Linked DNA regions of Saccharomyces cerevisiae S288C. The protein of the gene in region 1 purifies or fractionates together with the protein of each later gene. This does not show direct contact. Each region holds a gene or a part of one and is shown in the gene's direction. Other genes may lie near its edges.

Region 1 (14,728 bases):
TAATCTTGCCCAGTTCTACAGCAGTAATTAGCGAACAACCCTGCGGCTTATTATATCGCTGTTCCTTGGGCTTGAAGCTTGGCAGGACAGGAGCGGTCGCCCTCTTCAATAACACCGGCGAAGATGTCTTATAGCTCACCAAAGGGCTACTGGCTTTGGGGCTGTGGTATATGTTGCTGTTCATGCTGTTATGATAACTGTTCATAGGAGCATGCCTCGAATATACATGCGAACTCGATCCGACCAAAGTGCTAGTCTCGGAAAGCACTGAAGTGCGGTCGGTGGGTAGAATGCTTGGGCAGTCTACACTGTCCTTCATGTTCTATATGATAAGTAGATCTGTGTTGCTGATGGAGAAGGGAGATACAATACGGATTTTCTATGAACTTTGCAGTGATAAGAGCACCTACGCTATTATAACACCGATGTTAGAATAATATGCAAGTTTGTGGTCTGTGTATACAGTTCTTTGTTTGTGCTTGAAGTGATGATGTTACATGTCAAAGAAAGAAAACCGCTAAGGTCAATGAAAATATAGTGTTACATCCGCCGGTGCAAATGGCGAGGAGAAGATTGGACTCTTGCGCATCGAACACTACCTATCTGCATCCATCCATGCCAGGTGCGCAAACTGTTGGGTCTGGCTAACACCACATTCTCGCTGCGCTGTGTTCTCCGATGACGTTTTGCCGCAAAATATTTTTTTCATGAAGGTCTTTTCTTTTCGTTCAGCGTCAGCGGGCCCAAATCTCAAAGTCGCCGCCATTCTGTTTAATGTTTAAAGTTTCCGCTCACTACACCAAGATGGCAGCAGGAGATGCCAGAAAAAGCGTGGGGTCTGGTCTGGTTAGATATTAGAAGTACATACACATCGGTGGGTGTGTAGCAGTGGCGACACATAAAATGGCCATAATGGGGGTGATTTTACGTATAGCATACATAGACATCTGTCGTTGAGGTTCGCTACCAGTGAACGGATTTAACGAGCAAGCAGCGAAAGTAGCCGAAAACCTCTTATTGTTAATAGTCATTTAGCAGCCGTTCTGCTGCTGTTTTCCTGTGGGGTGAGGTGGGCTGTGATTCGGTAAACTCGCTTGCGGTCTAACAAAAACAGAGAAAAACTTGGTACAAAAAGATTTCATTGGACGCAACCGGAATCGAACCGATGACCTCTTCCTTGCAAGGGAAGCGCGCTACCAACTGCGCCATGTGCCCAGAATTTCTGTATGTGTTGGATCTCAACACGGGGTACCTCCGTATAAGCAATTTTAACCCGTAGATGATTTTAGAGTTTCGTTCCTACACGCATGAAAAAGGTAAGATTGAGTATGCCTAAGATGAACCAATCAAAGTTATAAATACCTGAAGAAATGAGTTTAGATCTGTTGGATGGTGAAACATAAAAAACAGAATGAGGAATAATCGTAATATTTTTATGTAGAAATATCAAGTCCATTGTAAGGATTCTAATATCCTCGAGGAGAACTTCTAGTATATTCTGTATACATAATATTATTGCCTTTATCAACAACGGAATCCCAACAATCATCTCAAAGTTCACCAAAAGTCTCAAGATCCGACTTAAATCTTATATAATATGTAGAATTGCCTGCAAAAGTGTACGATTTTACAATAAAAAACGTCGAATTAGCTTTTCGCATACGTCTCAACCAAGAGGAGAGCGGTAAAAATTATGGGAAACTCAATCGTTAACCTTGCGCCTGATCAAAACAATCATTAATAGCCATATTATTTTTATCAACTTCTGGACAGTCAATACTCCAGGGATAATAATGGGACCAAGCATCATTGGCAACTACTCTCAGCTCGGCACGCCAAGAATCACCGTGGCTATAGGTAACACAAAACGCTGTCTTGCCGTGATTGTGCATACTGGATACTGAAACACGAACTGCACATGTTAAATTTCCTTCAGAGGCTGTAATATCACAGCTACTGTTTGTTGACCACGTCTTGACAAACAAACTCCAACCCTCTTGCCCATCAAAAAAGATATTCGTGAACTCCTGGCTGCCGCAAAACTTCTTGTCACCGCTCCCGTGAACGGCCCATGCTACCCATTGCGCTATGTAGCTGTTCAAATTAGTCGTAAGAGTTGTGGAAGAGACGGCCCTATTGTACAACCTAGACCAAGTTCTTACCTCCACTCCGTAAAACTTGGCTCTACAGAGGGTAGATTCACCTGTTTCCTGGTTGCGGTTGTATTGCAGGTCTGCTGGTGTTTCCACAGAACCATCGACGGCTACATTAATGGCATTACTGATACTTATTGCCGTGACGTCATTTTGAAGTTGCTCGACGAGACTATGCTGAGTGAAGTTGGCTGCTTGGGTAGTTATATTACTGATAATGTTAGGGTATTCAGTAGCATCACGCTTGTTGAAGGACTCAGGTACAGTACCATTTGCAGTTAATCCTATCGTCTGGTAAAATTCAACCATAGAAACTGGAGCGATTGCCAAATCATCGTCCATTTGCCAGAATCCTGATGGCAAGCCCTGGCTTTCACCGCCCGTCAGGTAGATCTCAGCACGTGTGCATGCGCATAACAATAAGATCGCATAAAAAAATGAGACGGTATAGTATCCTGAGGTCATTTTTCTCCCTTGGATTGATTGCTTGCTTTTGTATCTTTCTTATAATAGTTCTTTCAGAAGAGCCCAATATGCGGTTATTATATAAGTTAAGTTACGGCTATGTGAAGATTTTGAATAATGTAAAACTGTTAGAAAGCATTGCCTCTTGTATAAGATGTGGTCGCATTACTTCAGTTAATGACTTGAACCAGTTTGTTTTTCAATCCACGGCTGTATTCTTCACTAATAAAACCGATTAGCGGGAGTCAGGGAAATAGAAAGAATATTTGCAAATGGAGCACCATTTTAGAATTAATTTTTTTTCAGTGCTCACAGGTTGATGATAATGACAAAATATTTTGTTCTTTAGAATTATTTACATATTGTTTAGAGATGAACGATTATTCACACTTATTACTATATTGGTTTAAAATGGTTAACAGTTTGCTCGAGATATCAACACAATCTAGTCTTACATAAAACTTTCTTTTTTGTCCCTGGAAATCTGGCGCAAACCCTTTTTCATAGGATTGACTTAAAATAGTTGAAGAGCGATTTCTCTTGCAAAAAAAGGTGCTAACCCTTCTTACTTTGGTTTATTTTCGTGTTGGAACAAGTAGTACAAAAATATACAGGCGAGTTGATATAATAACATTATGTGCGTTCTCATCGTATACTTAGGCACATCTCTTATACGCTTATATATAATTGCAACAGTAACAGAATAATGAAACTGTTAAAAGCAATATGTAGACAATGACGCAATTGAGTTACAGATCCAATATATACGTGGAAAATATGAGTTGTTACACTGAACATGTTATATTTACCTGACATACCACTATATTGTACTGATGATACTTAAGACGTGCCAATTGCGCGTGTTATATGAACCTCTCCTTCATAGTATAGGAAGATGTACTTTCATTCTTAATTAACACCACCTTTGAATAATTTATCATCAGTAACTTTCAATTAACAAAAAAAATAGGAAAAAAATTTGAAAAAACCTCAAAACTATGTACATATTGAAAGGAGTAAATAATCAATTTTTACTTAAAACTTGTCATAGCTGGTTTCAAGTATCAGCTCGGCCAAGTCCTCCATGATGCGCTCTTCACTGGTACTTGTATTTTCGCTATCACCCTTCCTTCTTGAGTTGCCTTCAATGTCCGCTAAATCTTCCAGTAATATTTGCTTCAGCCTCAAAAGGTGCCTTCTGGCAAGAAACTTCTTTCTTTCCGTGCCTTTTAAACTGGCTATTTCCTCACTGTCCAGTGACGGAAGCTTGATTCTCTCGGTTAAAACCTTGACTAAACGAATTCCCTCCAACGTAACAAACCGCTTGTCTTCTATGCTCGCTTTAAATTCCTTCCCGAACTCACCATTCAATAAAGATTTCAAGTATTCATCTAGTATACTTTTCAGTTCCACTGTAGACACTTTATCATTCATGTTCAGATTTTTAACGATAGGAAACAGGAACTTCCATGAATTAAACCTGTAAACTTTGCCGTTCAACTTTGATGAGTATGTGGCCTCTACGCTATCTATAAACCCCCGAATCTTGTGCAAAGTAGCTTCAGCATTTGATGCATCTTTGTTTATAACGGCCTTGAGACTTTGTCTTTGGAATGCGTTGTACACCAAAATTAACGTCCTCCTGGTTATTGAGATTTGTGCCGACGAGGCTACCCGTTCATAAATGTCCAGACACTCGTCGCCGCAAGTGATGGGCCTCGTTGTTATGACAGTTTCCATGTATTTGTGGTATATGCTCTGATCTAACATTTGGTTGTTCTGTGCCTCTAATGTCTTAAATATTTCCATAGCAAGATCATATTCCTTGTTTTTCAAACAGTAATTCATAAACAATCCCACAACATGTTTGTTGAGAGGAAATGGCTTATTGATGTTCCAATGACTTAGTGGAACTAACGTAGGAAAATCGCTTTGTGTCAAATACTTCTTGAAAATGGTCTTATCAAATTGAAAATATTCACAGAGGGCCCATAGTCCCATTCCTTGCTTCTCAATCTTTGGTGACTTCTGGCTACATATTACTTCACAGTACTCAAATAACAATTTAGAATCGACACAATAGTCTGGTATTTTATTCATCAAATCATTGAGTACCACCATAAAACGTTTCTCATCGGCAATCCTGGTACAAGATCTTATCATTAAGGTATATGTAATACTATCCTTTTTCAAACCTGGGCACTTTTTATTAAGAAGTTTGAACACTAGTGTTTCATCGGTACAATTTATCAGTGCCGCCAAAGCGGTATTATATTCTATTTCCGTGAGCTCATTTTTGTCACACAAACTATCTATAGTCTTCAAAACAAGTTCTCCGTATTTTTTTGAGACCAAATTTTCTTGTTTTGAGAGCCCATTAAAGAGGATTGTGATGGAATGTTGATCAATAGGGACTCCCCATTTTTTTCGCCAATTGAAGATATCTACAGCACTTTGTTGGGACTGCACAACTTCGATATAATATTTCATAATCAAATTCATCCCAACGACGCCTTTCTTTTTAGCTAGCCTAGCCAAAAAGACAGCTTTTTCCAGTTGTCCTCTTTTCAAAAATTTTTGAACATCATTGGCGATTAATTTGGAATCACGTAACTGTTCTCCATTGACGCCTAGTATGGTATAAAAGAGTCTCTTATCTTTGGTTAAGGATAGGAACTTCAAGTCGCTTTGGCTAGTTGGCCCCAGTTTTGTATCTGCTAATGCCTCATTATTTATTTTATGAAATTTTCGAAGAATATGAAAAGCTTGATCCTTGGGGTATGCTGTCTTTTGCAGTTTTTTCAATTGTCTTCTTTTCTTAGAATTTATCCTTTCCAATTGTTTGGATGTTTTATTTAATATGAAACCGTGACGTTCTAGCTCATGTAGTCTTTCTTTTACTTGAGTTTTCTGTAGATTTGTCAGTGAATGAAAAGATCTTCTCAGCAGATGCTCTGTGAGATTAATTGCAGTGTTTATTCGGGGTAGCATTCTAGTAAATATACAAGTGTCTACACCTATTCTTGAAGACTGCGATGACTTTGAGGATGATTGATTCAGATCCTTGGTTCTCAGCTGTCCTTTTGTAATTTTTAGACCCATCTTTATTTTGCCGTAACTAAAAATAAAAACTAAAGAGCAGTGCCCAAGAAGAAGAGGAAAAAAACAAAAAGAAAGCTGAAGAAAAGTATCTCAAGATATTTTCAGTAAATTTTTTTTTTTTTGAATTTTCCGTTTAATATTAAAAGACCTTAAATCGATAAGTTATGTATCTGTATATACAGGGTGTACTCAATTTAGCAATAACATTACAGTGGTGCCACTTGGTCCTCCTCGAATTTTGTAGATAAGCCATTTTGCATGACATTTTCTAAATCGTCAATTTCTTTCACTGCTTCAACAGTTAAATTAGTGTAAGTATCTTCACCAATGGCTATGTCATCTTCAATTCTTATTCCGACGTTTCTAAAGTAAGATGGAAATGATTCCTCGTTAGGAATATATAAACCCGGTTCAATAGTAATAACTTGTCCAACCTTTAATGGTTCGTACCTGGAAACTTTAGGCACATCGTGAACATCTAGACCTAAATTGTGTCCAATATAGTGCGGATACAATTTTTCAACATTCCAACCGGAGACTTTATCTATGCCCAAGTTTTTCAATTCCTGTTTCATGAGTGTGATACTCTTTTCATGGATGTCGTGGAGGGAATAGTTATTGCTAGCTTTACATAACTTAATGCAATCACGCTGAACATTTAATACAGCTTCGTAGAGATCTCTTTGTGCATCAGTGAATTTCCCACTATTGGGCCACGTTCTCGAAATATCAGCACAATAACCACCCAAGGAGCCAGCAGCGTCTACAAGAACCATTTCGTCGTCAAACATCACATCATCGTTTCTTGTGTAATGGATACACAAAGAATTCGAACCAGTAGCGACCACGGGGATATATGCGTCCTTATCGCAACCACCGGATATAAACTTGTAATGAAGAAAGGAATCTAAAGTTCTCTCATTCCTAAATCTTTTAGCAAAGGCTTGATTGAACGATCTTCCTGATATTTGGCCAGCTCTCCTCATAATTCTCAACTCTTGAGGGGACTTGATCTTACGGAACTCTGCAATTCTTTTACTGATGGGTTTGATGGTCTTATTCGCAATGGAATTCAATGATCGATTGCTATTCCCACTGCCATCTAACAGGCTCTTGATGTGTTTAAAATTGGACGAACTGGGATTAGAAGTTGATAGCATATCAAAATAGATGAAATCATTCCTGTTAATTATTTTGGGCAAATATTTAGACAAATCGTTAATGGAAGCAGATTCATCGGCATTGAAAATTTCTTGAACACCATAAACCCCAGACCTAAATCCTTCCCACTTTTCAGCAAACGCATCCTTTGGCGGAACCAGCATGTGGAAAATTGTATCACTTAAACTATCCGTTGGCTTTTCTAAAATCATGACCGAATTAGGTTCATTCCAACCACTAAGATAAAACAGGTCATTTTCCTGTTGGAACGGATAAAATACTGCTCCAGATGCAAATTGGATATCGTTACCAGCTAAAATCACACAACTTTTGGGAGGCAATGTTTCCGCCAACCTAATTCTTCTTTCATAGTATTCCAAGGCTGAAATGCCTGGTGTCAACTCGCCCGACTTTATAAGGAACGGCCTTGTCTCATGCAGTGGTTGGCCTGCCTCAATGGGGATTCTGACTCTATTAGTAAAAGTATTACTTTTATGCTGTTCCAATGGCGATACCAACTTCGAGAAGTATCTTTGGCAAGATTGCATAGAAAACCGTACTGGGTTTATCCTATGTAACATATCAACAGAAAATGACCACTTTTCCTATTAGCTTTTTCTATTATATTCTTTAGAATTGGTGGAGTTTCTTGCGCAAACGATCCACTTTTGCAGTGCAGTAAGTGATCCCTATACCAGGTGAGTTGATATATATTTACTGTATCTTGTACTATTTTATGAACAAGAAAGGCTATTACTCACAACAGTTTTGGTTTCAGTCAAAGTTTATGTGTGAGTGTGAGTGTGAATGTGTGCGTGTTGCATAATTGCATTTGGCCTTTCCGAGAAATAAGTCATTCTTTATTTTTCTCTCTTTACGGTTTAATGGTGCGGCTTTCGTATCTGCGTCTCATCCTTCCCCCTTGCCGCTTGTCAGAACTCTCTAGCTTGGCGATTCTCTATCAACCTGTTATTCCAATTCTTATATCTACCATTACCTTCCAGCATTTTTTCAAATGTGTTCACACGCCCTGTAACGTTTATATATAAATATTTTAATATTTAACTTAGCTTATGCATATATAGTTAAAAGGGATAATAACAATAAGAATAAAAAACACAAACTGCTGAGATAAGAAAAGGAAGCGAATAGTTAATAATGCCTGATTCATCACATTCAATAAGCTCAAAAGATGTTGCATCTGCCATCTCTCTCTATGATCAGTCCATTTACACTAATAACAGGTCTACTAACCTGGACTTAGATCAGAGATCAATGAGCCCTTCCAATATTGCCTCTGGTGAAGATAGGATAACGAGAACGAACTCAGGTTGCTCCATCACATCAGGTGCCTCCATGATTGCCACGAAGGATGGTATTCAGGGGATTAATGTCAAAAGAGATGGGATTCCGAAATATTCACTTAATTTATTGAATTCCATGGTTCGAAAACAATATGATCACAATAATGGAACAAAGTCTCCTACCCCGAAGACTAGCAATATGGTAGACCCTAAGAACAAAAAGAAGAACAAAAAAAAGAAGAATGACAAGGATGACAAATACAAGGTATCGCATGATCAAACCGAAAAGTTTTACAAACTCAACACCACTTCCAACTCCAATCTCACCTCTGATTCTACTACTTCGTTATCGGACCAGTTTTATTTCCAGAAAAGTAACGCTGATTCTGCTCCATTAGACAATGCAAATTACCCACTCTCCGACCATTCCCCCTCCCTAAACTCTATGGATAATACTACAAAGCATAGCAGCAATGTGCACACTTGAATCACGTGAACCACAGTAACCTAATTGCTCAAATTTTGAGAGTTAAAGGAAAGAATAAAATATATAAATGATACGTTTATACCCGCTAAAAAAAAAAAATATAAAACAAAAAAAGGATCTCATAAGACGATTTGTTGGGATATGTCCACATCTTTCGGCTATATACTACATTTAGCTGTTTCCCGTTTCTTTGTATTATTCCCTTCTTATGTATAACTTTTACTAGTAATAATTATAATAAATATTCGTTTTGAAACATGGTAATTTCAAATGTTCAATGTATTTTCGGGCCGATTGCTGACCAGCGACACTTTAAGCCGAACTGTATTTAGTAGACTCCCTTTTCTCATCAGCGAAGAAGAAGTAGCAAAAGCTGTTTAGCAAGCAAGACAGCAATACGAAGACCAAGCATGATTAGGTACACTGTTGCTGGCCATTCCAGAAGGTGTGTAGTAGGAGCTTCGAAAAGAGTGGGTGCAATTAAATGTATCACCGTCGCCGCCACCAAGAGATTTATCTCCAATAAGCCAAACGAAGTTTTTACCAAGCTAACGAATGACAATGATCCAAAGAGAGATGCCTTTTTCAAATATACGTGGGGCTCATGGCTTAAAAATGATAAGCAAGAAAAGGAAAAAAGATTCACGAAGTTTTCGATTGAAGGTTTAAATCGCATTCTCAATGACATCTACATTCAATCTAATGAAATGGCTAAGGCCCCCGACGGTAAGATCTTACCACCAGTGTTTAACAAGAACTTGACCGTTTCATTGGTCAATAACGTTGTACCAAAGAATATAGGTAAAATCAACCCAAATGAAAAAGTTCAAGTAACCACATTATCTAGTATTCACGAAGGTAAACATCACAGAATATACAAGGTCGACACGAATTTGAACAAGGCATTTATCTTGAGGATTCCTTATCCGCTGGAAAATGAAAACACTCTATCCTACAGAATAAGAAGTGAAGTAGCAACCATGGATTTTGCTGACTTGAAGTTGGGCATCAAAGTTCCCAAGATTTTTTGTTATGGTGTCAATTCTTTGAACCCTGTAAGGCAGCCTTTTGTCTTACAAGAATTTATCGAAGGAGAACTCTTGATGAAAGATTGGGATCCATTGATTGAAGACGGTTCCTCCAATCAAAAAAAATATGACAATGTTATTAAACAAGTTTCTGATTTTCAGTCGAAGTTAGTGTCATTGAAATTAAATGCATTTGGATCCATATATTTTAACAATGACTTAAAAGACGGAAATGAGAAGGAGTTTGTTAAGGAAGACATATACGATGGGGAAACTAATCCGGATCTACAAAACAGATGGAAAATTGGGCCATCCGTGGAAAGATGTCTCTGGAGACATAAATCTCACTTGGATTTTCATAAACAAATGAAACCTTTTTTGGGACCATGGCCAAAGAAGTCTCCAATGGATATAATTAAAAATACTGGCCTATTGGAAGCTGAAAATGCTAAAACTAGAATAGCCATGAAAGAGGCAGGAAGTTCAGCTGAATTGATGTATCCTCGAACTTTGAAGGAGCAAATAACTACCTATGAAAATTTAGCTAAGATTGCCCCGGATTTATTCAACGTCAAAACAAAGGCCATTCCAAATATGCAGGAACTATTGTCACCACGTTTGTTTCATCCTGATCTAGACCCCATGAATATTATTGTTAACAAAGAAGCACAAGAAGCCTATCTATTAGATTTTGAAGGAGCATGCACAAAACCTTTCATTTTACAGAATTCGCCACAATTCATCGCCTATGATGGGCCCAAGATTTATGACTTAAAGGAGGACATAACCGATTTTGACAAATTATCTGAGGCGGAAAAGGTGCAATATCAGTTCATGTACAAGCGCACCCGTAATCAACATCAATGGGAGAAAAAATTAAATGACAATAATCCTAAATTAATTACTGCAGTTGCCCCACCTGTTAAGCTACTGAGAAGCCCATATATTGCAGCTGTCGAAAGAAAAACGGAAGAAGAGTATTTACTTATTGATGAATCACTATTGCAATTGAAGGAAGTTTGGGACATCTTTGCCCAGAATGAGTTAGTGAATCAGAAAAAGTTTCCTCTAAACTATAGTAAAGAAGATATTGAAAGACATGTTGAGGATTTGCAAAAATTACACGAAAAGCTAATCTCTACACCATTTGCTGCCACTCAAGGGTGGATTCCTCAAGATATGTTTGATCAACTATTAAATTCCGGCAGTATTGTTAAGCAAGAGAACGGAGACTACACCGTGAAGCAACCTGAAGCTACCAAATAATCTATACTAAAAATGAAATATTTTTTTGTTTTCTTTACCTCATTCAACTGTATAGAACGTTATAACAAAATAATCAAGTTAAAACCCTTTTTTGTACACAATGGAATCTCTTCCATTTACTAATCAACTTAACAATGCTGGATTGGATATATTGATAACGTTTTAAAAAGCGTTGCGTGATGTTTGGGTGCAATTGGCGGAAAAGCGGAACTTTCAAATTTACGATAGGTGGAGATACATCTCCACCTTTCTCCCCATTATCTTTGAATTTTCCTCAAATATATAAAGAGAACAACAAATCCATAGAAATGCCATTGTTTAATCCTGATTATCTACATTGTTTTAGTTTTTTACTCACAATCGAGTAATGCCTTTGTTTGGCCAAGCTATGTGCAAATATCACAAATTAAAAATTTGGTTAAGCAGTTAGGCTGGACCTAATATTTTAGAAAAACCTAATTTTTTTTGTGGACCCATTTTCGATATTTACTCACAAATGGAATTCAAGGGGAACAACTTCGGTCTCAGCACTTTAATTATTCTTCTCGTTCCCACCTAATTTCGCAATTTATTGTCCTTGACTTCTACCACGAGAAAAAAATTAAGAAAATGCAACGCTGCCCGTGCAGGGTTTTCTGAGCGGGATGAAAAAATCAGACAAATATCCAAGTTATGAGTAATTACTTTGTTGGAAGGAGGGAGCAGAGGATAAGGAAATTCTTAAAACTGTTATGTATATAAAGGAAGAACCATTTCTAGTTATTTCACTTTTTGATACTTGTCAACTATCTTAGTAAAAATACAGAACTCTATAAAGAACCACAGAAAAATCGACAGCAATGACAAGCATTGACATTAACAACTTACAAAATACCTTTCAACAAGCTATGAATATGAGCGGCTCCCCAGGCGCTGTTTGTACTTCACCTACGCAATCTTTCATGAATACCGTTCCACAGCGCTTGAATGCTGTAAAGCACCCAAAAATTTTGAAGCCTTTCTCAACGGGTGATATGAAGATTTTACTATTAGAAAACGTTAATCAAACTGCTATTACAATCTTCGAAGAGCAAGGTTACCAAGTCGAATTCTATAAATCTTCATTGCCCGAGGAAGAGTTGATCGAAAAGATCAAGGACGTTCATGCTATTGGTATCAGATCAAAGACTAGATTAACTTCAAATGTCTTACAACATGCGAAGAATCTGGTTTGTATTGGTTGTTTCTGTATCGGTACCAACCAAGTTGACTTAGACTACGCTACCAGCAGAGGTATTGCTGTTTTCAACTCGCCTTTCTCCAACTCAAGATCAGTAGCAGAATTGGTCATCGCTGAAATCATTAGTTTAGCAAGACAACTAGGTGATAGATCTATCGAATTACATACCGGTACATGGAATAAGGTTGCTGCTAGATGTTGGGAGGTAAGAGGAAAAACTCTTGGTATTATTGGGTACGGTCACATTGGTTCCCAATTATCAGTTCTTGCAGAAGCTATGGGTTTGCATGTGTTGTACTACGATATTGTAACTATCATGGCCTTGGGTACTGCCAGACAAGTTTCTACATTAGATGAATTGTTGAATAAATCTGATTTTGTGACACTACATGTACCAGCTACTCCTGAAACTGAAAAAATGTTATCTGCCCCACAATTTGCTGCTATGAAGGATGGCGCTTATGTTATTAATGCTTCAAGAGGTACTGTCGTGGACATTCCATCTTTGATCCAAGCCGTGAAAGCCAACAAAATTGCAGGTGCTGCTTTGGATGTTTATCCACATGAACCAGCTAAGAACGGTGAAGGTTCATTTAACGATGAGCTAAATAGCTGGACTTCTGAATTAGTTTCATTACCAAATATCATCTTGACACCACACATTGGTGGCTCTACCGAAGAAGCCCAAAGCTCAATCGGTATTGAAGTGGCTACCGCATTGTCCAAATACATCAATGAAGGTAACTCTGTCGGTTCAGTCAACTTCCCAGAAGTGGCATTGAAATCATTGTCTTACGACCAAGAGAACACTGTGCGTGTGTTATACATTCACCAAAATGTACCAGGTGTTTTGAAGACCGTCAATGATATTTTATCGAACCATAACATCGAAAAGCAATTTTCCGATTCAAATGGTGAAATTGCTTATTTAATGGCTGATATCTCTTCTGTTGACCAAAGCGATATTAAAGATATTTATGAACAACTAAATCAAACCTCTGCTAAGATCTCAATTAGATTGCTATATTAATATGCAATCGATTCTCATACTGTCAACTTTTTGAACATGATTAAAAGTTTCCTATAAAATATTAAAAAGAACCAAAAAAAAAATGGATAGAAGAATGCTTGAGGCAATAATAATGATTATCTATTTTATATATACATACATAATCATTTAAGTTTTTTTTTTAAAGATATTTCGATTTAGCCGAATCTGCTCAATGCCTCTTCGATGACATCCTTGTGGTCTTCTGAAATTAGGCCTTGTTTGATTTGGTGGTTTCTTTTACGAATATTTTTCTCCTTATCCAGTTGTTTCTGTACTCTTAATTTTCTTTCATCAATAACGTTTTGAGTCTTTTTACGCAAAAAGGAACGCAAACCCGAATTCTTACCTTTCACATCAGGTTTTACATCTGGAATGTCGCTGTTGGTTTTGGCTTTATTATTAGCATCCATTGTAGTTTGCGCCAAATCCTTAGCGTTTAACCTTATGGTAGAAGACCTTTTATCCACTGAACCGATGGAATTCGGATCTAAAGTAATTGTATCTGCTGGCAGTTTGTTCAATAGGGTTCTGACTTCCTGTTCCTGTCTTTGTTTTTTGGTTTCGAATGGGTTTAATTCTAAGGCATCGTAATTGGCTTCACCTGCACCAGGTACAATCAAATTCGTAATACCCGTTTGATGGCCTACACCTAGTAAATCTTCAAATGGTACGAATCCCAAATTTTCTACTTTGTTTCCGGCAAACAAATGTGACATGTAAGGGGTGTTTCTATGTGGGTTCCCTCCCATGGACCCGAAGCACGGTTTACTGTCTCCACTTAATTTTAAAGCGTCCTTCCACAACGTAACGTGAGGGCCCCTAGATAATGCCAATAGACCAGTATCTGAAATGGAAACGTTTGTTCCTGGCGTCGGTAAGCTTTCCACAGAATGTAGTTGCTTGAAGTTTCTGATATCCCAAATTTTCATCGACCTATCAGCCCCTGTGGTTGCCATGTAATACCCGCTTCTATCGATAGCAATGCTGTTCACTGGTCCTCTGGCAGAAAGTAATTTTACTAATGGTTCAGGCATGGATGGTGACCAGAGGGATACTGTACCGTTTGAATGACCTAGATGCATCACAGCATTCCATGGGTTTTGTGCCATTGCCATAGTTGGCCCAGCTTTGGTCCTCAATTCCGAGACCAACTGGCCAGTGGAAACATCGTGGTACTTCAACCAACCTGTCTCACCGGCAGTTACGAGCAGGTAATGATATGGTAGAAAATCTAAATGTCTTGCCTCAATATGTTGTTTCAAACGATGTAATTCTGTACCTTCGTGATCATAAATAAATGTATATTTTTTTTGCGCTACAGCAAAGTATTGTTCGTTTTGCAAATATGTCGCTGAGTGACAGGTTTCATTCAAAAACAGCTCAGCACGAAGTTGTCCCTTTCTCCAGTCCATAGATGCTACGTGACCTTTGCGGCCAGTAATCAAAAGATGCGTACCGTTTTTTGCATATTTTATATGATAAGGGCCGAATT
Region 2 (17,288 bases), on another chromosome or scaffold:
CAAGTCCTGAGAGAAAATGTAGACATTTTAAGAAAAGTACCGGAAATAAAGCACATGTAAAGCATTGAGCTCTGTACTCTATAAAAATTAGCTGCATTCAAACAACAATGTTTGAAATTTTTGCAAAAGTTATTGAAAAAGATTGCTGTTTTCAGCCTTGTTCAGATCATGTCTCAAAAATGAGAAACTGGAACTCTCATAATCAGTACCTCGTATTTTTTTTTCCTTATAGTTTCGTTATTAAAAATTTTTTTGCTGCTAATTTAAGTACGCTTTTGGTCATAAATGCTACCCACCAGTTGAATTATTGACATGATTAAAATACATTTCAGAACTTTACGGATTAAAAACTTTAAAGAACCTTTCAATCCATGTTGCTGGAGGGCCATGAATCCACGAATTACAGCAAAAGAAGACAGTAACTACTTAGGGTTCAATAATTACTTGCATAAACACACACTAACAACCAAATCGTACTAAAATTTGCAATTAACAAAACTCCATCATATCACGCTGAATTATGTAGGGCTTCTTAATGCAATAGGTTGCCTGAATTTTGCTTACTCGTGCTGCCGGGAACACTTAGCAGTTGGGAGGCCGTTTCTCCCATATATTTCATAATTTTCTGTCCTTCTTAGAGTAGGATGCTGAAAATCAAAAGAAGACCGTCAATAGGACCAGATTTTGTGGGTCAATTTTGGGCCAGACACATGATACCCTAGGAAGTTTAACGGTATACAACTCAAGGACGAGGAGTATTCGGAAACTACCGGTTTTTAACAAGCTGCAAATTTCCAGTAGCTGTTTTGGTTGCGACTACGGATAAAAATTCATACTTTAGGAAGTGAAGCAAGATAAAAAATCATGCTGCATCCTAATTCGTGAAGTTTGTTAGGAATATTATTGTAAACAAGGAACCGTTTCAGTAAACTTGCTCTCTACTCTTCTAAGCTGTAATTTAAAAAAAGCGATAAAACAATGATTTTGATTATCTGCAACTTCTGGAAACTCGAGATACTACGCTAGACGAGATACCTATTAATTGTTTTCCTAAAAAATCAGGAACAGTTCCTGGCAGCTTTCGGCTCCTTCTTGTTCTGGAAAGGATCTTCAAATCCGCTTCCACGTAGCAGTCCTCGCTACGACTTCTTCTGAAGTATTTTGATTTTTGGCTGCATTTACCTTTTATTGCCGAAAATCTTATTTTCCAAGAAAAAAGCTTATTTTGCATTAAGTTTAAAAAATTTCTTCTTTCCCGTAGATTGACTTGCAGCGTCAAAATTCCGGAGGCCTCACGAGATTTTTTGACATCGGTTTTTGACATCTCTTTTTCCTTCCTTTTTCTTTCTTTTCCTGCGCACGCCGATAAAGAAGTAGTACAACAGACAACGTCAAAATGATCCTCTTGTGATGAAGCAAAAGAGGAAGAGTATACTCCTTTTCCGCTTGTACAAATATTTTTTTTGATAATAAAATTTGGCACTTCAGAGCTTATCGTATCTTCTCCCGGAGTTCCTCAAGACTTATACTTCAGCCCGTTTAGGAATGCATAAAAGCAAATAGGATTCGTTACAACTGCTGCAGGACTCTTTAGGACTGCATCAAGGTAAGCCTCGCTGCACCTAAACGCAAAATGTGGTTGTAACCTTTTTAATTTTTTTCTTGAACTTGTTGAGTCGTAATAAATCGTTTCTGGGAAGTGGAAGGTAATAATGTAATGGAATCGGCGTTACTCGCATGTGCAGATATCAGCGACAAAAAGTGTTGTAGGGACGTTTCGATACCAAAATTTCCTAAATACAGCGCAGGAACATCACTACGCTAAACAAATCGTAGCGCATACATCTGATCGAAAAAAGACAGTTCCCAAAACAATGACATATGAAGAGACCAGCATCAAAATTTTCATCATTAACAGCATGGCTAAAAGTTATTGTTTAATATACCCATACCTGATTGACGAACCAAGAAATGCCTTATCACTATTTATTTTTGGCACTCTTCACCTACCTGGCCACGTCCAATGTTGTTTCAGGAAGTACACAAGCATGCCTGCCAGTGGGCCCGAGGAAAAATGGGATGAATGTCAACTTTTATAAATACTCATTACTGGATTCAACAACGTATTCCTACCCGCAATATATGACTTCTGGATATGCCTCGAATTGGAATTAGGTTCCGTTGGCGGACAGACGGATTTCTCAATTGACTACGATCTTTCTTGTGTTATCTCTTCAGGAACTTTTAAATGTGCTCAATCAGATGCTTATGGAAACTGGGGATGCAGAGGTCATAGTGAATGTTCAAAATAGCCAAGAAAGACCTATTGGAGTACTGATTTACTTGGTTTCTTACTATCCCAAAAAACGCTACTCTAGAAATGACAGGTTACTTTTTACCACCACAAACAAGTTCTTACACGTTCAGGTTTGCTAAGGTCGATGACTCTGCAATTCTATCAGTCGGTGGTAACGTTGCGTTCGAATGTTGTGCACAAGAACAACCTCCAATTACATCGACGGATTTTACAATCAATGGTATTAAGCCATGGCAAGGAAGTTTGCCTGATAACATCGGAGGGACTGTCTACATGTATGCAGGCTACTATTATCCGCTGAAGGTTGTTTACTCCAATGCCGTTTCCTGGGGCACGCTTCCAATTAGCGTGGAATTGCCTGATGGTACTACTGTTAGTGATGACTTTGAAGGGTACGTTTACTCTTTTGACGATGATTTAAGTCAGTCAAATTGTACTATCCCTGATCCTTCAAAACATACTACTAGCATCGTCACAACTACTACCGAACTGTGGACTGGTACTTTTACTTCTACATCTACTGAAATGACCACCGTCACCGGTACTAATGGTCAACCAACTGACGAAACCGTTATTGTTGCCAAAGCTCCAACCACTGCCACCTCATCCAGTTTGTCATCATCTTCTTCAGAACAAATCACCAGCTCTATCACGTCTTAGCATCCAATTATTACTCCATTCTATCGCAGCAATGGAACTTCTGTAGTTTCTTCCTCAGTCATGTCTTCCTCGGTCATTTCTTCTTCTGCAACGACCTCCACTTCTACATTCTCTGAATCATCTAAATCATCCGTCATTCAAACCAGTAGTTCCACCTCTGGTTCTTCTGAGAGCGAAACAATCTTAGTGATTGCTGGCATGTCATTAGCGACAAGACGCTTATTACCGTAGTAGCCCCCCAAGGCAAACATCTCTTTATCAGTAATATCCAAAGCTGTTCAACTTCTCGAATTGGCCCAGGAAAAGAGCATTGGGGCGGCAACTAACTCTGGCATACTTACAGTTTCTGCTCTTGACAGCGCTAAAAAAGGGCTTGTTTTGTAATGCCCGGTTCGCAATTCTACAAGTACCACGCACTAGCTGCTAAAAGTGTCTAACCTTGCGAACAACTCTGGACTTTCTTATGAGAATCCCATCGTCAAGAAACAAAATTATACAGACAGGCGTAAATGTAGCTCGTAAGCGCCTGATCAAGTAAGCCAAATGCGCTAACTTGAGGAAATATAGCCATCTAAATCTCTGCAACATGCCAATTCGCACGTGACTTGAAACTATGGAAAGTGTCTAGAAGATTACCAAGAACCACGTTATTTGAGAGAGGATGGCAAGGTGACGACAATCACACCAAGACCACATTTTGGGTGCGCCTGGAAGCAAGACCTGAGAAACTGGGCCAAAATATTCAAACCAAGCATAAGATAGTTGGAGGTAGGAATACACTATCTAATCTGTGCTGATGAAATGCTGGCGAAAACGGGCGATGTAGTGGTACAGAAGGTGCCGGTTATCCGTTTGTCCGTTTTTCTTCATTTTTTTTTTGTTTTTCCCTTTTGTCTTTTGCACCGCTTATATATGGGTATGAAACAAGTTCAAGAATTTATAATGGAACCCAAAGGTTCAGTCTTTGTAGTTCGAGCGACATTGCGCGTTTCCTTAGAAAACGCTGGAAAGATATTCTTTAACGAGACGGAGTAATTCTCGTCAGGAATAGGATGTTGATTGATTTTTGCTGTAGTTATATAGCAGGGACCCACGGAAGAGAGCGAGCGCCTTCTTTCACAGGGACTTTTGTCAGCCACGTCTCCGCGGAAAACAATTGCCGTCCGCGTCGCAGTGAGATTACGCAGCCGTGCGCTTCAGGGACAGAAAAGAAGCATTTCGCGGCTACGGAGAAACAGTGCACTAACTCTCTCGAGGGTAGCCGCAAAGATTTCTTGTCTCTTCCATTAGGACATAGCTATCTTTTTCTTTTCTGTTTTTGGCGTATGATCTGTTCTGAGCCAAAGTTATAGAACATTGCTTGAATAAGCACCTCACAGAGTAGGGATTGTATAGAAAGTAGCTGAGCGTCTGCCCACGTAACAAACAATCTTGCCCCTTCCCCGCTCTTGTTTTCGCGTGCCTCTTCTACAATAATCTGGCCAGGCTAAATCGCGTTCTGCTGCTGCTGCTGCTATTGTTATTGTTGTTGTTGTTGTTTTGGCCAATTGCTTATGTGTTGGTCTGCAAATTAGCACCTCGTTCCCTGTTGGCAAACGCGCGCGTACAAGCCTTACAGGGCTTGAGAATGTTCTTCGTAGAAATGCATGCACAAAAATTTTGATCTAGCACACCATCGGTCTCTGTAGCTTCGGGCTCTATAGCTATGGGTTAGGAGTCCGTGAGTAGTAACAAGAAGAAGTATATAAAAAGCAGGTAAATCGTACTTCAATATGCTTCATTGTCACTGGATCGTCATATTCACTCTTGTTCTCATAATAGCAGTCCAAGTTTTCATCTTTGCAAGCTTTACTATTTCTTTCTTTTTATTGGTAAACTCTCGCCCATTACAAAAAAAAAAGAGATGTTCAATCGTTTTAACAAATTCCAAGCTGCTGTCGCTTTGGCCCTACTCTCTCGCGGCGCTCTCGGTGACTCTTACACCAATAGCACCTCCTCCGCAGACTTGAGTTCTATCACTTCCGTCTCGTCAGCTAGTGCAAGTGCCACCGCTTCCGACTCACTTTCTTCCAGTGACGGTACCGTTTATTTGCCATCCACAACAATTAGCGGTGATCTCACAGTTACTGGTAAAGTAATTGCAACCGAGGCCGTGGAAGTCGCTGCCGGTGGTAAGTTGACTTTACTTGACGGTGAAAAATACGTCTTCTCATCTGATCTAAAAGTTCACGGTGATTTGGTTGTCGAAAAGTCTGAAGCAAGCTACGAAGGTACCGCCTTCGACGTTTCTGGTGAGACTTTTGAAGTTTCCGGTAACTTCAGTGCTGAAGAAACTGGCGCTGTCTCCGCATCTATCTATTCATTCACACCTAGCTCGTTCAAGAGCAGCGGTGACATTTCTTTGAGTTTGTCAAAGGCCAAGAAGGGTGAAGTCACCTTTTCTCCATACTCTAACGCTGGTACCTTTTCTTTGTCAAATGCTATTCTCAACGGTGGTTCTGTTTCCGGTTTGTAACGTAGAGACGACGATGAAGGCTCTGTAAATAACGGTGAAATCAACCTAGACAATGGAAGTACCTATGTTATCGTTGAACCAGTTTCTGGAAACGGTACAATCAACATCGTCTCTGGTAACCTATACTTGCACTACCCTGACACCTTTACTGGCCAAACTGTTGTATTCAAGGGTGAAGGTGTTCTTGCCGTTGACCCAACCGAAACCAACGCCACTCCTATTCCTGTTGTTGGCTACACCGGTAAGAACCAAATTGCCATTACCGCTGACATCACTGCTCTTTCTTACGACGGTACTACTGGTGTCTTAACTGCAACCCAAGGTAACAGACAATTCTCTTTTGAAATTGGTACTGGATTCTCTAGTTCTGGCTTCAGTGTCTCCGAAGGAATCTTCGCAGGCGCCTACTCATATTACCTAAACTATGACGGTGTCATCGCTACAAGCGCCGCATCCACATCCGCATCCACTACCTCTGGTGTTGTCTCTACTGCCACTGGTTCAGTCACTTTATCCTCTAACGCTTCTACCACCGTCTCTTCTACGATCTCTTCTAGCGCCCCAGACTCAATAATTCCTTCATCTAGCGCCTCCATCTCTGGTGTCTCAAACTCCACTACAGCATCTGGTTCAATCGCTTCTACTGCTTCCACCGCTTCCACTACTTCTACTGCATCCGCTGCATCCGCCACCAGCTTCACCTCAGGTTCCGCTTCTGTCTACACTACTACATTAACTTACTTGAATGCCACAAGTACAGTCGTGGTTTCCTGTTCAGAAACAACCGACGCTAGCGGTAACATTTACACCATTACCACAACTGTCCCATGCTCATCTACCACTGCCACCATCACATCTTGTGACGAAAACGGATGCCATGTTCCAGCACCAACTGCTACCGACGCAACTGCAACCGTTTCCTCCAAATCATACACCACTGTTACTGTTACTCACTGTGACAACAATGGCTGTAACACCAAGACTGTCACTTCTGAATGTTCTAAAGAAACTGCAGCAACCACCATTTCTCCAAAATCATACACTACTGTTACCGTTACTCACTGTGACGACAACGGCTGTAACACCAAGACTGTCACTTCCGAGGCTTCCAAACAAACATCATTGGCCACTAGCACAGTCACCAAGTCTGCTGCTCCAACTTCTCATACTGCTGCTTCCAGCACCTTCACTGGTATTGTCGTTCAATCCGAAGGTATGGCTGCTGGTTTGAGAACCAATGCTTTAAGTACTTTGGCAGGTATTTTCATCCTTGCTTTTTTTTAAAATGAGTGCGTAACCGTACTTTCCTAAAAATAACTAAGTAGAAAGTATTTTAATATATAAACGTGAGATATATGTGGGTAATTAGATAATTGTTGGGATTCCATTGTTGATAAAGGCTATAATATTAGGTATACAGAATATACTAGAAGTTCTCCTCGAGGATATAGGAATCCTCAAAATGGAATCTATATTTCTACATACTAATATTACGATTATTCCTCATTCCGTTTTATATGTTTCATTATCCTATTACATTATCAATCCTTGCACTTCAGCTTCCTCTAACCTCGATGACAGCTTCTCATAACTTATGTCATCATCTTAACACCGTATATGATAATATATTGATAATATAACTATTAGTTGATAGACGATAGTGGATTTTTATTCCAACATACCACCCATAATGTAATAGATCTAATGAATCCATTTGTTTGTTAATAGTTTGAATGTTTTTATCGGAAGAGGTTTGGTCATTACGTCTGCAATATTCTTTTTGGTTTCGATATAGCATACGTGCAGATGATTTCCTGATACTTCATCTCTTAGTCTCATTGCTTTAGTACCAAAAAATCTGTTTCTAAATTTCTCTTCATTATTGGATATAATTATACTGATTGTAGATTTACTGTCGGTTAGTAATCCTTTAGTAATTGGTTTCTTGTTAAGTTCTTGCACAAGGTGACTGAGGTTATTTAATAATGGGACAGATTCACTTATCGCGTGTATTTCTGCTTCCGTAGTTGAAGTACATGTTAATGAAGCCTTGGTGGACTTTCCTCCAATTACCTTTCCATTAAGTAAATATATGTTGCCAATTTGTGACTTGTAATATGGTTGGTTACCATATGAAGCATCACTTATTGCGACTAGTTTATTATCTGGCTCGGTAGGTTTGTTTTTGTGCCATATCAGTTGTTTATCTCTAGTGTCCCACATGAATTGTATTAACTCATATGTCATGTCTAAAACTTGCCTAGAGGGGAATAGTATATGTTGAGCAAGTGTGTTGATGTAGTATAGTAAGTCAAATCTAAATTTATATCCAACATATGAAGCTAGACCAATCAACTTTTGCATTTCATGTACCTTCTCTTTGTATTCATCTTCATCTATTTCTAGTTCATCCTGGTCTATATAAAGACCTGGTTGACCTGGAGCGCTAAGTTTTCTTCCTTTTGGATTCAAAGGTACGTTTAATTTGGGTATTTTCTCAGTTAATGAGTTTTCCATACCTAATTTCATGTATTTACCTCTTTGATATTTGATTTCTAAGCCAAGTATGTCGTACTGAATTTCGTTATCACTTTCACCCAGATTTATTATCTTTGTATCGTATTGTTTCTTGAGTGTTGTTATGATTTTCTTATTTGCATTTAAGTCTTTGCTGAACAATATCATATCATCAACGAATAAGCAAATTGTTACTTGACTATTCTTAAATACGCATGACCATCCACGAACTTCTTCCATACCACACTGTTTTATCAGGTATGATTTGATAGTTTCGTACCAGTTCGCTCCACTTTGTTTCAATCCATAAAGTGATTTCTTCAAACGTATCAACTTATCATTCATTCCTAAATGTGGTGGAGGTCTTATGTATAGTTCTTCTTTGATGTCTGCATACAAATATGCCGAAGATATGTCTAATTGTGTAATATAGTAGTTATTGTCTAATGCAAGTGACAGGGATGTCATTAATGCATAGTGATGTACGGTATTGGATTGCATGCCTGGGTCGTAAGTGTCAGGATGTTGAATATCACCTCTTGCAACAAATCTAGCTTTATGAGTACCGTCACGTTTCCTGTTAAAGATAAACATTGAATTTATTACTCTTTTGGGGTCTATTTCTTTTCTGTCATAATATCTGTCAGTGTCCCAAGTTTTCATCATCAACAGTTGATTGACTTCTTTGTGGTATGCCTGGATATATTTTTCTTTTTCTTTAATATCTTTATTATAGGTGATTGCCTCATCGTATCGTAAGGTTGTTCGTATTGGTTTGATTGATTTTACTGCTTTTACAGCTGCAATCAGGTGAATTCGTTTCTTCGATCTCGGAGGTTCTAAACTACGCATATTCTTAGTATTCCATGTGTCTCGTGATACCTTAATTTCAGTTTCATTATCTTCTAATGATCTTTTCTTACTGTTGATAGTAGTATAGGCATTAGAGTCACCAATACCACCCAAACTGGAATTAGTTTGATGAGAATTTATCGGTGGGAGTTCTTTAAAGGAGTCTGATAATTCGGTAGGAGGTTCTGGAGGCAGATCGGGGAGTGGAAGATCAGCGATAATAGATTCCTCTGTATTCTCCTTAGGACAGGTATCTGACGTTTTGATAGGAACGACGTGGTGTAGTGAATTACTTTCTGATGAGGAAGTATCGATCGAAGGTGAACGGTGTATGATCCTTTTCTCAGTCTCCTGTTCGCTTGTCTGCGGAACAGTTTTATTATTGGTACCACCCGTACTGGATATTGGTACGTTTGTATGATTAGTCTCATTGTCACTGTACGAGTCTGAGTGTCTGAAATCTTTAGATTTACTGGCGTGCGACGACTCATGTGTGTTAGATTGGGACATGGGAGCAAGTAAAGGAACATCTAATCTATGCATACCACCCGAACCGGTACTCTCGATATCGGAAATTTGGGGGGTGCTAGATCTCTTCTTAGATGGAAGAATATTAGATTCAGATATGTTGGGGTCAACTTCTCTGGGTGCGCGAATATTGGTTTTGGAAACACGTTTCGAATCTTCAGTATGAGTTGACGGAGGTGTGGAATCGGTTGGACTCACAGCTTTTGAAAGGACATTTCTCAGTTGCTCAGGATGTAGTTCAATGTCAGATTGGAAGTCATGGTCAGATTCTATGTTAAGATCATTGGATTGTTGGATCTCATTTGACGCAATGAACGAATGATATGAAGCAGTTAAACGGTTTAAGTCTTCATCGAAAGTGAGTGCGTCGTAATTGAATTGATCTAATCTGGATTCCTTGCCCTGAAGAATAACATAGTTAGTTGTATCTACTGTCTTCTTTAAGGACGGAAGATAGATGATATATCCATAAGAGTTTCGAGACGGATGTAGAGCGTAGCCTGGGATGCCACGAGGATGTATTTTGGAGTTAGGGTTGTGATCATTGACGATAACAGGTTGACCGAAAGGTAACAAAGTACTGATATCAAGTCCTGCCAAGCCAGCATGTTGTCTTGCAGATTTTTTGCTTTTAGGTGAAGCTAGTGAATTTCTCACAATAGTAGAAAATTCGATTGCAGAGAACCATAAATGGTTCGGTAAACCACTACATTGCAGTTGAGTACGGCAGTCATCTAATAAGGTACGGTTGAGCCGTTCAGCGACTCCATGTGCTCGGGAATCCGCTGTGGTTGTATAGCATGGAGTTATACCATTTTTTTCAAGGAATTTATGGAGAGTTCTGTTAGTATACTCAGAACCACGGTCCATTTGTATAACCAAGACACTGGCCTGAAACTGGTTTTTAATAAAAGCTAGTATCGTAGTAAAAACATCGAGGATAGAGTCCTCGCGACGGTCGTGTAATGGATAAACCCAACGGAATTTTGTTGTCTCATCAGTAAATGAGATGAAATAGGATGGTGCACTTTTTGGTAGGTTGTGAACTGGACCAAATATGTCAGTATGTAGGTATTGAAAGGGTTCGTATGAATTTTGGTATTTTAGTCGTGAACCTTTGATATGTCTGTGTTTGGTGCTTTTGCCGATTAAACAATCAGGACATTGATAGTCAATAGCACTAGACCAGTCGACATCTGATTCGTTAAAATACGTGATGGTGTTATTTTTAAGTGAGTATCGAATTGTCTGTGCATTGGCATGCGCAAGCATTCGATGAATGAAAGGATAAGGATATTTGCGTGTACTTTCACTTGTATGGACATTATTGATGGTGGGTACGGAGATATTTGATGGAAGCAAGTACTTTTTAGATACCCAGTAAAAGTCTCCATATTTTACGATAGGTGCAAGTACAGTGCCGTCAGACCGTTCTAAGACGTTTTTGGTAAAGCATGCTGTGATATCTACTGCAGCCAATTCATTCAAACTGAGTAAGTCATAGGCTATGTTAGGAGTGTGCAATACCTTTATTGATGTTTTGGTGTTGTCCTGGAAGTGAAATTGTAGGTCACCAATAGCGTTAATTGGTATATTTCTTTTTTGAGCATCAACTACGTTTATGTCAGGATTAGATGATGCTGAGTGTATGTGATGAGCAGATCTTATAAGGGTTCGTGATGCTCCTGAATCGAGAAGGAGGTGTCCAGGGAGTTCATCATCAGAATGATTAGTATGATTTACTGTAGATTCAGTAAGTTTCTGGCCTAAGATGAAGGTCGTGCTTATTGTTCAATTGAATCGGTTCAGTAGTTGATTTACTGATGGAATCGTTGTCCGTGCTGGGAGAGTTATTAGATGTGGATACATTGTGAGCCCTGGCTGTTTTCGATTTCGAATTATTTGTTTTTTGAGGATTCCGAGCTATAACTTTGGGTTTGGTTGTATTCGTATAGCTGCGAGAATCATTCTTCTCATCACTCGGATTTCTCCTGTAATTAGGTTTGCTGTTTCTCGATCCCTGTTGTTCTTCATAAATAGCATGGATATCTAAGAACAGTTCAGCGACTGTCATATTTAGATGTCGATGACGTGTGTAGCGTAAAAATTTATATTCGCCAGATAGACCTCTCATAATTAATTGGCATGCGACCTTGTTATTGATATGAATGCCATTATTGTTCAGTCTGTCGATAATGTTTGTGACTTTTGTTTCAAATGCATCTGCAGGTGTACTGCCATTATATTGCAAATTTGCCAGGGTCACAATGTCGTTTGCCTCTTGGGTATCAGATTGCATTTTTTCAATACTTTTGGAAAGAATTTTCATGATATCCGTATAATCAACGGATAGGATGTCTTTGACCCAGGTAGGTAGGAATTGAGAGGGAGCAAATATTTGAAAAGTGTTATACAAGAAGGTGAGTTCATCATCAGTGATCTGACGTACGGGTTTTCCGTTTACTGTCGGAATAATACCACCGAGATTCGAGTTTTGTAAAAATTTGATGTATGTTTTAACCCAATTTGGAAAGTCATTAGGTGAGGTTAACATTGGTGGTACGGGTTTTCCGTTTACTGTCGGAATAATACCACCGAGATTCGAGTTTTGTAAAAATTTGATGTATGTTTTAACCCAATTTGGAAAGTCATTAGGTGAGGTTAACATTGGTGGTGGTCTGACATATTTTTTAGTGGATGTCATATCAGAGTCCGCTGAGGATGAATCAGTAAATGTATTACCTGACTCAGGTGATGGAGTGCTCAGAGGCGTTCCAACTGATGATGGATACTGCGGAAACTGTGATTGTGGCCCAGGTGGAAAGTACATAGGCGACATTTGATAAGGTGTATACGGAATCATAGATGGGTGTCCGTAAAATGACCAACCAGATGGATTGGCTTGGTTTTGGGTCATCATGCACTGCTGTGGGTACGGCCCATTCTGTGGAGGTGGTACTGAAGCAGGTTGAGGAGAGGCATGATGGAGGTTCTCTGGAACAGCTGATGAAGCAGGTGTTGTTGTCTGTTGAGAGTTAGCCTTAGTGGAAGCCTTATCATATTCTTGAATTTTGGAAGCTGAAACGTCTAACGGATCTTGATTTGTGTGGACTTCCTTAGAAGTAACCGAAGCACAGGCGCTACCATGAGATATATGTGGGTAATTAGATAATTGTTGGGATTCCATTGTTGATAAAGGCTATAATATTAGATATACAGAATATACTAGAAGTTCTCCTCGAGGATATAGGAATCCTCAAAATGGAATCTATATTTCTACATACTAATATTACGATTATTCCTCATTCCGTTTTATATGTTTCATTATCCTATTACATTATCAATCCTTGCACTTCAGCTTCCTCTAACCTCGATGACAGCTTCTCATAACTTATGTCATCATCTTAACACCGTATATGATAATATATTGATAATATAACTATTAGTTGATAGACGATAGTGGATTTTTATTCCAACAAAACGTCAGTGTAAACATTCAAGTGATTTTAACTTTACGCGGTTGAAGAATGCTGTGTTCGAACTATAAAGCGTCAGAAAAGATGGTTTAGCGAAGGCACCATTATGAAGATAGACACATTCTTCTTTTTTTTTTTTTTTTTTTTTTTTTTTTTTTTTTTTTCATTTACTTTTATTTCTCGCGGTCGGTAAATTTTTCGTGGGTTTCTTTGAATCTATTAGCCGACATAAGAATAATGCATAAATAATATTTTTAATGTCTTCCTATGCCCAAAAGAAGAAGTCTTGAAGTTGCCGCACATGGAAATCACATGACCATGGCTTGGCCCTTCGTTTTAAATGCAACATGCAATATGGAATGTGTCATGAATACTATCAGCAGGAACAGAAAGCGTCGTTTTGTTTCTGCAAATGCTGTAGTTTTGGGCCGAAAATAGATGTAGTAGAATATATAGTGAAACGTGATGTACAAAAGAAAAAGGTAGTTTAAAAAAAATTAGATAACTTGGATTTTTACCCTGAATATTGCATGTGATTCGTAAAGAACTGAGTTACCTCAAACGGACCTCCCTTTTCATTTCGTATTCCGCGAATCATGAAGTCATGCAATTACCTCTGAAGAGCTGACTGTCCCAAAAGAAGCTATCGAATCTGTCCTTGATTTATTTAAGCCTTGCGTTTCGAGAAAGTGAAAACCAATTGAATACAAAATAAAAAAAAAAGAAGAAAGAAATAGCAGGTCTAAGATATATAAGAAAGTTAATATCATTTTTGAACATTTTATTTTAGACGCCTTCAGCCGCGCGACGCCCGGAGTAATCATATGCCCATGACTTTACCAAAAGGCAACAGGGAGGAACATGCATTAATGTGAAGCATCACTGCTGCAATTCTCGGTGTTGCTAATAATTCATGGATCGAGAAAGAGACATAACATTTAGGCCAATTTTTTGAATAAATATGAACTCAGCTAAGACTCGACAATACAATTTTCTTATACTAAACGTAGATTTATAAAATAAACACAACTGTAAGGGCAATGCAACCGTAGATGCATATATCATTTATAGAAATTATATCCAACAGAAAGCTCAGACTTATATCCGGTTTAAGAGAGAAATTCTTGCTCATATTACCCCAAGACCAGGTGGCGTGTTGAAGTTTATAACATATAAGAACTACTACCTCATGAATTCTAGTGGATGAAAGAAGCAGCACGAACACCATTTCTACAGACAACGACACATGGAAAGGTTCACCATTCCCAAAGAAAACAACGATGGCCACAAGGGTGTGGTCCTCCATTCTCCTACTGTTGGAAGGAGATATTATCCGACCGACTGTTTTGTGATATGGCAAACTATTTTTTTAAATGAGCAAAATTACTTCTTTTGGCTGGAAATGTCATTAGAAAGTGCCCAAGTGACATTTAGCTAAACTCGGGTATTGTCTACAAGACCGGTGCTGTGACCGTTTCCAATACGGAAAGAAACGGTACTGGGAGCAGGAGTTGCTTTTACAGATATGAACAATGCCAATAGAGCCGCACATGTAATTACTGGTTCACACTCGTGGGGCCCACACGATTCCTGTGCAAAGTTTGACAAGAGGATGGAGTTTCACGTAAATGCTGCCAAAGGTGATGCGGTTTTGTTTTTGGGCAGCCTCTACCATGTTGCAAGTGCGAACCATACTGTGGCCACATAGATTACAAAAAAAGTCCAGGATATCTTGCAAACCTAGCTTGTTTTGTAAACGACATTGAAAAAAGCGTATTAAGGTGAGAAAATCAAGATTATCTAAGCCGATGAAAAATGAAAGGTATGATTTCAGCCACAAATATATAGTAGTTATTTTATACATCAAGATGAGAAAATAAAGGGATTTTTTCGTTCTTTTATCATTTTCTCTTTCTCACTTCCGACTACTTCTTATATCTACTTTCATCGTTTCATTCATCGTGGGTGTCTAATAAAGTTTTAATGACAGAGATAACCTTGATAAGCTTTTTCTTATACGCTGTGTCACGTATTTATTAAATTACCACGTTTTCGCATAACATTCTGTAGTTCATGTGTACTAAAAAAAAAAAAAAAAAAAGGAAATAGGAAGGAAAGAGTAAAAAGTTAATAGAAAACAGAACACATCCCTAAACGAAGCCGCACAATCTTGGCGTTCACACGTGGGTTTAAAAAGGCAAATTACACAGAATTTCAGACCCTGTTTACCGGAGAGATTCCATATTCCGCACGTCACATTGCCAAATTGGTCATCTCACCAGATATGTTATACCCGTTTTGGAATGAGCATAAACAGCGTCGAATTGCCAAGTAAAACGTATATAAGCTCTTACATTTCGATAGATTCAAGCTCAGTTTCGCCTTGGTTGTAAAGTAGGAAGAAGAAGAAGAAGAAGAGGAACAACAACAGCAAAGAGAGCAAGAACATCATCAGAAATACCAATGTTGAAGTCAGCCGTTTATTCAATTTTAGCCGCTTCTTTGGTTAATGCAGGTACCATACCCCTCGGAAAGTTATCTGACATTGACAAAATCGGAACTCAAACGGAAATTTTCCCATTTTTGGGTGGTTCTGGGCCATACTACTCTTTCCCTGGTGATTATGGTATTTCTCGTGATTTGCCGGAAAGTTGTGAAATGAAGCAAGTGCAAATGGTTGGTAGACACGGTGAAAGATACCCCACTGTCAGCAAAGCCAAAAGTATCATGACAACGTGGTACAAATTGAGTAACTATACCGGTCAATTCAGCGGAGCATTGTCTTTCTTGAACGATGACTACGAATTTTTCATTCGTGACACCAAAAACCTAGAAATGGAAACCACACTTGCCAATTCGGTCAATGTTTTGAACCCATATACCGGTGAGATGAATGCTAAGAGACACGCTCGTGATTTCTTGGCGCAATATGGCTACATGGTCGAAAACCAAACCAGTTTTGCCGTTTTTACGTCTAACTCGAACAGATGTCATGATACTGCCCAGTATTTCATTGACGGTTTGGGTGATAAATTCAACATATCCTTGCAAACCATCAGTGAAGCCGAGTCTGCTGGTGCCAATACTCTGAGTGCCCACCATTCGTGTCCTGCTTGGGACGATGATGTCAACGATGACATTTTGAAAAAATATGATACCAAATATTTGAGTGGTATTGCCAAGAGATTAAACAAGGAAAACAAGGGTTTGAATCTGACTTCAAGTGATGCAAACACTTTTTTTGCATGGTGTGCATATGAAATAAACGCTAGAGGTTACAGTGACATCTGTAACATCTTCACCAAAGATGAATTGGTCCGTTTCTCCTACGGCCAAGACTTGGAAACTTATTATCAAACGGGACCAGGCTATGACGTCGTCAGATCCGTCGGTGCCAACTTGTTCAACGCTTCAGTGAAACTACTAAAGGAAAGTGAGGTCCAGGACCAAAAGGTTTGGTTGAGTTTCACCCACGATACCGATATTCTGAACTATTTGACCACTATCGGCATAATCGATGACCAAAATAACTTGACCGCCGAACATGTTCCATTCATGGAAAACACTTTCCACAGATCCTGGTACGTTCCACAAGGTGCTCGTGTTTACACTGAAAAGTTCCAGTGTTCCAATGACACCTATGTTAGATACGTCATCAACGATGCTGTCGTTCCAATTGAAACCTGTTCTACTGGTCCAGGGTTCTCTTGTGAAATAAATGACTTCTACGGCTATGCTGAAAAGAGAGTAGCCGGTACTGACTTCCTAAAGGTCTGTAACGTCAGCAGCGTCAGTAACTCTACTGAATTGACCTTTTTCTGGGACTGGAATACCAAGCACTACAACGACACTTTATTAAAACAGTAAATAGACCTAATATGATTTATGTAATTTTAGAAACTAAATATGAATGCTAATTTTTTTCTTATTTTGACTTTTGCTTGCGAGAAGTACCAAGTTGGAACAACAAACACAGTCCAAAGAGGGAAATACAAAGGCACAGTACGCAATTACTTTATTATTCTTTAGCAAGACGAAGATAGTATGAATATACGTGTAAGGCATATGCAAAGCCATGATTTTATACCATAGACATGACATGCGGGTTACATGAGGTGGTAAAATGTTTTAAGATAGCGTCCAGGGCAAGTACATGAAATGTCGTTTAGAGATGATGCAAGAGTAGGGTTATGATGTGAAAGAATAGGGCAATTAATTAACAGAGCGGATGTTGTAGGATGATATAGTGACACATAATATATAAATGATCGGTTGAGCGCGATATTATATAAGAACATCCATATGAGTATATATCCTACCGTGTCTGTTCTCTACAGTGCTTCTTTTATTCAAAATTATTGGTTTTCGTAACCGCCGCGCAGGCACGCCGCGCATCTCTTTTTCTCGAAGAAAGCGGAAAAAT

What was found.
Region 2: the proteins of SER3 (region 1) and PHO12 purify together in Saccharomyces cerevisiae (affinity purification with mass spectrometry, with the first as the bait; one large-scale study listed by BioGRID). This does not show direct contact.

The regions. Positions count from the first base shown.
Region 1 is NC_001137.3:310,881-325,608, forward strand, and holds SER3 (phosphoglycerate dehydrogenase SER3), read left to right. Parts: upstream 1-11,805; coding exon 11,806-13,215; downstream 13,216-14,728. Other genes in the region: tyrosine protein phosphatase PTP3, read right to left, coding at 1-319; YER076C (uncharacterized protein), read right to left, coding at 1,710-2,618; MRX1 (Mrx1p), read right to left, coding at 3,654-5,720; ICP55 (aminopeptidase), read right to left, coding at 5,927-7,462; YER078W-A (uncharacterized protein), read left to right, coding at 7,766-7,930; YER079W (uncharacterized protein), read left to right, coding at 8,040-8,672; AIM9 (Aim9p), read left to right, coding at 9,083-10,966; UTP7 (Utp7p), read right to left, coding at 13,392-14,728. UniProt on the Saccharomyces cerevisiae protein: Catalyzes the reversible oxidation of 3-phospho-D-glycerate to 3-phosphonooxypyruvate, the first step of the phosphorylated L-serine biosynthesis pathway. Also catalyzes the reversible oxidation of 2-hydroxyglutarate to 2-oxoglutarate.
Region 2 is NC_001140.6:536,771-554,058, forward strand, and holds PHO12 (acid phosphatase PHO12), read left to right. Parts: upstream 1-15,328; coding exon 15,329-16,732; downstream 16,733-17,288. Other genes in the region: YHR212W-A (uncharacterized protein), read left to right, coding at 1,972-2,175; YHR213W (uncharacterized protein), read left to right, coding at 2,381-2,977; YHR213W-A (uncharacterized protein), read left to right, coding at 3,779-4,012; YHR213W-B (uncharacterized protein), read left to right, coding at 4,030-4,329; YHR214W (uncharacterized protein), read left to right, coding at 4,881-5,492; YHR214C-C (gag protein), read right to left, coding at 11,140-12,576; YHR214C-D (uncharacterized protein), read right to left, coding at 13,878-14,171; YHR214C-E (uncharacterized protein), read right to left, coding at 14,430-14,729.